2 linked regions of the Danio rerio genome follow. The protein of the gene in region 1 purifies or fractionates together with the protein of each later gene. This does not show direct contact. Links are inferred from orthologs where the notes say so. Each region holds a gene or a part of one and is shown on either strand. Other genes may lie near its edges. The genes, in order: rad52 and rpa2.

Region 1 (3,832 bases):
AATGAAAGAATGAATGAATGGCTGGGCGATGCAGTGGCGCAGTAGGTAGTGCTGTCGCCTCACAGCACGAAGGTCGCTAGTTCGAGCCTCAGCTAGGTCAGTTGGCGTTTCTGTGTGGAGTTTGCATGTTCTCGCTGCGTTCGCGGCTGGAAGGGCATCCGCTGCATAAAAACATGCTGGATAAGCTAGCGGTTCATTCCGTTGTGGCGACCCCGGATTAATAAAGGGACTAAGCTGAAAAGAAAATGAATGACTGAATGATACACTGTCAAGCATCAACACAACCTTGTTTGATCTTGTCCTCCAGACTTTGTGGACCTGATCAATGGGAAGTTTTACGTTGGAGTCAGTGCTTTCATTAAGGTCCAGTTAAAGGTAAGAGCTCTGACAATACAGAAGTACAGAGTTGTGAGTAGCATCTAAATTCTTCAGTGTTTTTCTCCATAGGATGGCTCATTTCATGAGGATGTAGGATATGGGGTTAGCGAAGGCCTCAAATCCAAAGCTCTGTCCCTGGAAAAAGCAAGAAAAGAAGCTGTCACAGATGGATTGAAAAGAGCACTCAAGTAACTACATCAGATTTCGATTGGTCATTCTATGGCAAATATTTTTTCATTTCTTTTTAAAGTAATAGGATTTTCTTTAGTTGTATTTAGCTAGTTTTATTTACCTATGTGAATTAACCATTTTAGTTTGAGTATATAAATGTTTGTGAACTGTATTATCATCTTAATAAGCAGACAATCATTGTTGATTTTTTTCCCCTATGAAATATGTCTTTGTTGGCTTTTTTATTTTGTTTGAGGATCCCCACCACTGTGATCAATTGATTGATGTGTATACCTAATGCCTAGTTCAGACTGCATGATTTTAGCCCCGATTTTGGCTCGCCGACAGGTTTTGAGAAATCGCCGACAAATGCCTGAAATCACAGGCAAATCTGTGCTCGTGCACGTGAGTGACAATCACACAGTATGAACGATCAAAGACGTGATCTGAGAGAATCGCCGATGAGTCGCCGATGCCTGTGAGATATTTGGCATGCTAAATATCTGGAGCCGTCGGTGATTCAAATCATGACGTGTGAATTGAGTTTTGACTGAAAATAACATCAGCGATCTCCTACAGCCAATGAGAGAGCAGCTTTCACTTGTGTGTGCATGTGTGTATACCTGCTGCAGGCCAGCGGGAGGCTGGGGGAGAAGTTAAAAGCGCTCTTTTTTCGATTTATTTGGACCGACGAAATGGAGGAAAAACTAGTGGAGGTTTGACAGGACTCAGGAGCAACTGTGTCTGTTTGACGGTTCATACAGAAAGAAGTTAGTTTATCATCAACGTTGAGGAGAAATAGCTAATTCCCTTTAAACCCAGATGAGCAAACATGTACATGTTCTACCCCCTTAAAGGCTTCTTTCTCATTATGTAGTTAATAACAAAAGATAAACTACGTGTTTTTGGCTGTGAGACGTAGTTGTCGGCAATTCTTCCTATAGTAAAGTCATGCAATGTGAAAGTCCCTGTCGCCAATCCATCTTGCAGTGTAAACAAAGCAGCGACGAAACGCTAGCCCAGATAGTCAAGCAGTGTGAAAACATCTGTGACATGACTACCTTGAAAATCATGCAGTCTGAACTCGGCATTACTCAAACAGAGTTGCTAATTGCCAAATAATGATGTGAAAATCGTGTCCCAAGATGTTTGGGTGGAAGATTTTTCAGTACATTAAATATATTTAGTTTAAATTGATAAACTATATAAACTGTGCATGTTTTTCAAGTGTGACCTTAAAATATGGAATGACAGTAAAGGGCTTGAGTTAAAGGGACTTAAATTTCCCATGGAGGGATTACATTTTTTTAACCAATATGATTTATGACAAGAATTGCTAATACAATAATGTGCACCTTGTAGGGTCCAGCCAGTTGGTCCAATGACGGTATCCAATGGTGGATGAAGGTTCACTACATGTTCGGTCTATCCAGTGCACAATGTTGATTTATATTAAACTTAACTCATATCTGACTCCAATTTTAGTATGAGATGGTTTAGAATATTAATATGTTTATCCTCGTTTTATCTGACTCCAATTATAAAACATTGAGAAGATTATTTTGTTTCCTTTCACATTAATTTAGATTATGATTGAATATTCTCTTCGGTTCATCATTTTATGTTATTCTCGTTCATTGGGATCTCTATAACATCCTGAATCTTGTACCGGCCGAGTATACAATTTCTTAAGCACAAGCATGTCAGTCTTGGTCACTAAACAGGGGCGATTGACCGCTATCCTAAAAAGGCAGAACCCTACTTACTCAGATTAGGATATTTTTTATGCGGTCCCCATAGGTCTGCTACCTCCTAAATCAGACAGAGCTATTTAGTCATATAACGATCATTACTATAGAATTAAGCAGACCAGTCGTACTTAAACTAGTAGTAACTTTGAATAATCACTATACTATCTAAATAGTATTAAAAGTTTATCGGGTGAAGGACTATCCCCTTAGATATCATTTTACAGCCTAAGTATACATGAATAAATGCCAATTTGTTAGTCGGAGCTCTAGAGACATCGTGTAACGTGCCGCAATGCTCCGTCTACCGTGTTCTAGTCCGCTACTAACCTGAACAGGGGCTTGTGGTGCTATGAAATTACCACAATCTACTAAAGATAATAACACGAACTCTGTTTGAATCATTCAAAACATAACAATTTATTAGTCAGGTAAATGTATTATGCCAATTCAATCAGTCAATTCATAAATGATCAATACAAAACATCAAATTATCAAAGATAAATCCAAGATGAAAAGATGCATACCTGACTTTGAAATATACATAACATGGGGCAGACCCCATGTTATGGGCTGATCTGGTTAGGCAGAATCGCCCTGAGTTTTTCTCAAACCTTGCCTTAAATAATCCAAGAATTCCCTCAAGGAAGGGGGTGTGTGTAAAAAGTCACACCCTTCACAGTGGTTCAAAAGATGCCTGAAGTTATATATTTATTGTGTTGATTATATCTATTTCTGAGAGAATGAGACCATTGTACCAATCGCACTGAGACATTTCAAATGATATCAAACATGATAGTTAAAGTCAGTTTGGTTAATCTAAAACATTGAAATGACCATATGCGTGAGTTGGGGGGATGAAGCTGAGTTTCAACATAGTCAGATGCAAATGCAGCAGGAACTGGTTTTTCACGCATTCCCCCCTGGTGGGTTGTGGAGTCCATTGGCCCTGTCTTCAGCTCATGTTTTGAATTGTCAAAGACATCAAAAATATTTGTAATATTTCAATTCTTACAACCTTTTGTAAAGCTGCTTTGAAAAAATAACTTTTGTGAAAGGCGATACACAAATTAAATTAAATTGAATTAAAAAATAATGCTTTTATGTTGCAATGATGCATGAAGTTGACCAAAAACAGCAGTAAAGGTATTTATAACCCTATATTAGAATTTTACATCTTTGATGTTTTTTAGCAAAGGTCAGGTTCCATAGAAATATTAAGCCGCACAACGTTTTTACGCCATTGATAAGAACGGAGAAATGTTTTTATATGCCAGATCATCATATTTGAATGATTTCTGAAGGATCATGTGACACTGAAGAATTTTTGTAATGATGTTGGAAATGTAACACTGCCATCACAGGAAATATAGAAATATAATTTCATTTTATTTTATTTACCAATAAGGTGTTTTGGAAATGCGCTTGGAAACTGTATTCTGAACAAGGAGTATCTTATCGCCATCAACAAAATACCAAAGCAGGTAAGAAGTCATTTTATAAGGGTTAAACATGAATGTTTAGTCATTAAAAAA
Region 2 (3,932 bases), on another chromosome or scaffold:
CTCCTCAAGTTATAATTAGATTGTCTAACTCAGTGGTTCCCAAAGTTTATATTCGCACATTTGTTCATTTAGCAGTCTCTATATTGTTTACCATGTTACTTTGAATATTCGATCGGAATTAGCATGCAAGTTTGACTTCTAAACAATATTAACACTGTCTAATTCACTGTGAACAATGTTGTACTTTCATAATCATTTGCTGCTAAAGTGCTAATATGATTTCCCTATTTAGAATTTGCAAAGAATACTTTTCTGAAATTATATTATTAAGGAGAATGTCTGAATATCTCAATTTAAACCAGCTTTACCTCTATGGAATTATGTGGAACCCTGCATATTGTACAGTGCATGAAGAGACTTAGGATGAAATGTGTTAGAAATCAATTTCTTCGATTTTAAGAGGTCTAAAGTTAACAGCAACGTTAGTCATAAAGTTATTTTTCATAAAGAAAATATCATGGCGTTAAATAAGCTGTCCAACTATCTGGTCAATACTGCCATCTAGTGTTTCATTGTGGCATTTCTAACTGTTTTATCTTATAGAGCTAGTGTAAAAAATAAAACAGTATGCAATAGTATAATATATATAATTCAGTATACTATATAAATAATTTTAAAACCTAGCTATAAACATTTAAACGACTATATTTTAGTACTCTCTAACTTAGTGTTCCCAAAGTCTGCCTCCTGAAATTGTATAACCTTTTATTCCAGTAAATAAACTCAAAATAAGCTGTAACGTTACCCTAGTACGTTAAAAGAAATCCCGTTGAATCCCTGGGTGCTAAGTGTAACTGTACATGACATAATTCACTCACATACACTGATGAAACACTGCATTGACAGTCAGTGACTATGAGAGAGCCAAAGTAGAAGAGAAAAACTTTACCGAATGAACAAAAGGCCGCTTTGCAGCTTCTGTCTGAGCTCAATAAAGAGGACATCTGTGTTCGCAGTCTCTTCCATTGGTATTTCTTTACAGAAGCTATGGATTCATCGATTCTACTCATAAATCCCACGCGACACACAAAACAACGTGACGACAAACTGTCTGCGACACCGTCATTTCATATTAAGAGTCTTCAGAATTCAGTTTGCATCTGTTCAGTGTTAACGTTACTTTTAAAAACATTTTAAAAAACGCTGTTTTCAAACATATTTGGACAGTTATTATAATTATTTTATTTTAATATATAAACAATATATGACTGGGCTTAGCCCGCTTACATGCTTTAACTATTCCAAAACATATGAGAACGAGCGTAAACGTTTTAATGTAAATTTCAGTGAAGAAAGATTACAGATTTTTTGTTGTTTTTATTTATTTTTTTATGCTTTATTTTTATTTAAAAACAATTTTAACAACATACAAGCTTCTGTGGACTTTTACAGTATACGTGTGGGACTTTCGCGGCAGATGACACACGCGCACGCGTACTGTGAGCGCGCGGACTTCGAGACGTGACGTCAAACTGTGCGCGATCAGTCGTGGCGGGAGATTTTCGAGTGTCTTGTCGGTCTGCTTCGCATTCAGAAGAAAAACATTCACGAGTGAAATGTGGAACCAAGGTACGTGCTTTAGAAATCACTTTATTTTGGCTTTAGAGCTGAGTTTACTCTGCTAGTCCGCTAATGAGAGTCAGAAAGCTCTGTTATACAGTGTCAGTGTGATGTCGGTTAGCGGTGTGTTGTCAAGGTCTGTTTTTAACGCACTCTTACGTTACTGCCAGTCGGACGGGGTTTTTAACCAATAAGTCGTTTTGATTGAAATATGGTATTCATATTTTTGCAGGTAAATACGGAGAGGCCAGTATGGCTGGGTACACACAGTCTCCTGGAGGATTCGGGTCACCAGCCGCTTCTCAAGGAGGAGACAAAAAGGGGGTCAGTATATAAATAACTTTAAACACCTATATATATATATATATATATATATATATATATATATATATATATATTGAGGTAAAGTTGGTTTTATATTCGCACATTCGTTCAGTGACAACTTGTGACATGCTCCTCATATTGTTTACCATGGTACTTTAAATATTTGGTCTGAAATCACTTGTAAACATGACTTCAAAACAACATTAACACCATTTATTTGACTGTAAACAATGCTGTACTTTGATAGTCACTAGCTGATAATATGATTTTAGCATTTAAAATTTGCATAAATACTTTGTGACGTTTTATCTTTAAGGAGAATGTGCGAATATTAAACCCACCTTACCTCAATTGTGTGGGGTTCATATTAAATTCCTCCAATACCATATTTAATTCTGTTTAAATATTTAATTGCAGTTAATACGACTTGAGTATATTTTGTTTAAACTACATATATTTGTAAATATTACCCATAGTTTTCTATAATAGCACTTTTAACTTATCCCTATATCGTGCACTTTCTAAACTGCATTTTGAAATGACAAAAAAAGTAAAAAATACAAGTTAAATGTTCACTTCAATGTTTCAGACTATTTTTGTGACAACGAAATGTTAAAAAATGTGTGAAAAAATTGTTTGGTATTAAGCTCAACAAGTTTTTGTGTAATTAAACAAAAGCAAATACCTGTTATGTACTTCCTGATTATATAGTTAAAAGAGTAATTTAATAAACTAAATTTGGTTATAATTTAACTTTTTGTTAACAAATGGGTAAAGTGAAATGTTTTGCAGAACAGTTAATAAATATTAAGATTTCAAATGACAGGTATAAAATTTAGAGTTTGAGACTAAACTAAATTTAGTGGCCATCTTATGTAACTTGAAGTAAATTGAAATAAAATATTTATTAGTTGTTATTTTTGTTTATTATTATATTTCTTTGCTTAAAATAAAAGCGACACATCGTAAAAAAAGTTAAAACAGACAATAGATTTGCTCAAACTATTTTTTATTATCATTTAATGCACTTTTTAATACAATACAAGCCTAAACGTTGAGTTTAAGCTATTAAGCTAAACATTTAAGCTATTTTCTGTTATTTAAAAAATAAATAAAATATAAAAGATTTAGAAATTCTTTTATGAAGTATTTAATTTTCATTGCCAAAATTGTCTTTGTCTTTCATCTCAATGTTTAGGTCTGTTTTTGCTTGTGTAAATACTGAATAATATTTAATAAGGTATATAAATCATATCTTTTATAGAAGGTTTTTTCAGTATATTTCAATAATTTTCAAGTCGCTGTTTAAATTTAGGCAAACAAACTTATAACTTTAATGCAGTATTGATATGTTTGGGGACAATTCTGTTTGTGTAAAAATAATACGACTTTCACTATTTTGGCCTAATACATCTTTTGTGTAGCTGTTAGAATGACCGTAGAGAGAGTAGTATTGTTATTTTAACAGTACTTATTTGAGTCATTATCGTGTTGTTTAAGTGATTATGAAAACAGTGGGAAATCAGTGTAGTATTGTGATCTTCATGTGTGATGCTGTAAAGTGTAACAGTGATGTGTGTGTGTGTGTGTGTGTTCAGAGGACACGAGCGCAGCAGATCGTTCCCTGTACTGTATCTCAGCTGTTGTCGGCGGTGCAGGCTGAGGACGTCTTTAAAGTGGGAGAGGTGGAGATCGCACAGGTCAGTCTGAAGAATCACTAAATATCCACATTTTTATTGAAAGGGTTTCCATTTTATGGAGCCAGATCAGTCTCAAAAGTAATATATTTATAAAAAAGAATTCATTCACATATAAAAAATCTAATTCATAACTTCAAAACACGATTCATCTCTTATTACATTGTATTTAAAGTGCTGCATTGTATGTGGTTTGGATGTTTTTATTACATTACATATACAATAATAAAAAAAACAAATAAAAGAATTGCCACCCTAGTTTAAAGGGATTGTTCATCCAAAAATGAAAATTTCCTCACTCTTTACTCTCCCTCAAGCGTTTCCAAACCTTTGTGTTCAGTTCTTCTGTTG

Evidence for each region.
Region 2: the proteins of rad52 (region 1) and rpa2 purify together in Homo sapiens (affinity purification with western blotting; 3 studies listed by BioGRID and IntAct, with this or other methods). This does not show direct contact. The link is inferred for Danio rerio from reciprocal best matches to the Homo sapiens genes RAD52 and RPA2.

What each region holds. Positions count from the first base shown.
Region 1 is NC_133200.1:22,346,491-22,350,322, forward strand, and holds part of rad52 (DNA repair protein RAD52 homolog), read left to right. Parts: intron 1-307; coding exon 308-375; intron 376-447; coding exon 448-566; intron 567-3,705; coding exon 3,706-3,781; intron 3,782-3,832. UniProt on the Homo sapiens protein: Involved in double-stranded break repair. Plays a central role in genetic recombination and DNA repair by promoting the annealing of complementary single-stranded DNA and by stimulation of the RAD51 recombinase.
Region 2 is NC_133191.1:4,971,623-4,975,554, reverse strand, and holds the start of rpa2 (replication protein A 32 kDa subunit), read left to right. Parts: upstream 1-1,422; 5' UTR 1,423-1,556; coding exon 1,557-1,569; intron 1,570-1,792; coding exon 1,793-1,884; intron 1,885-3,482; coding exon 3,483-3,584; intron 3,585-3,932. Other genes in the region: ube3d (E3 ubiquitin-protein ligase E3D), read right to left, coding at 890-966. UniProt on the Homo sapiens protein: As part of the heterotrimeric replication protein A complex (RPA/RP-A), binds and stabilizes single-stranded DNA intermediates that form during DNA replication or upon DNA stress.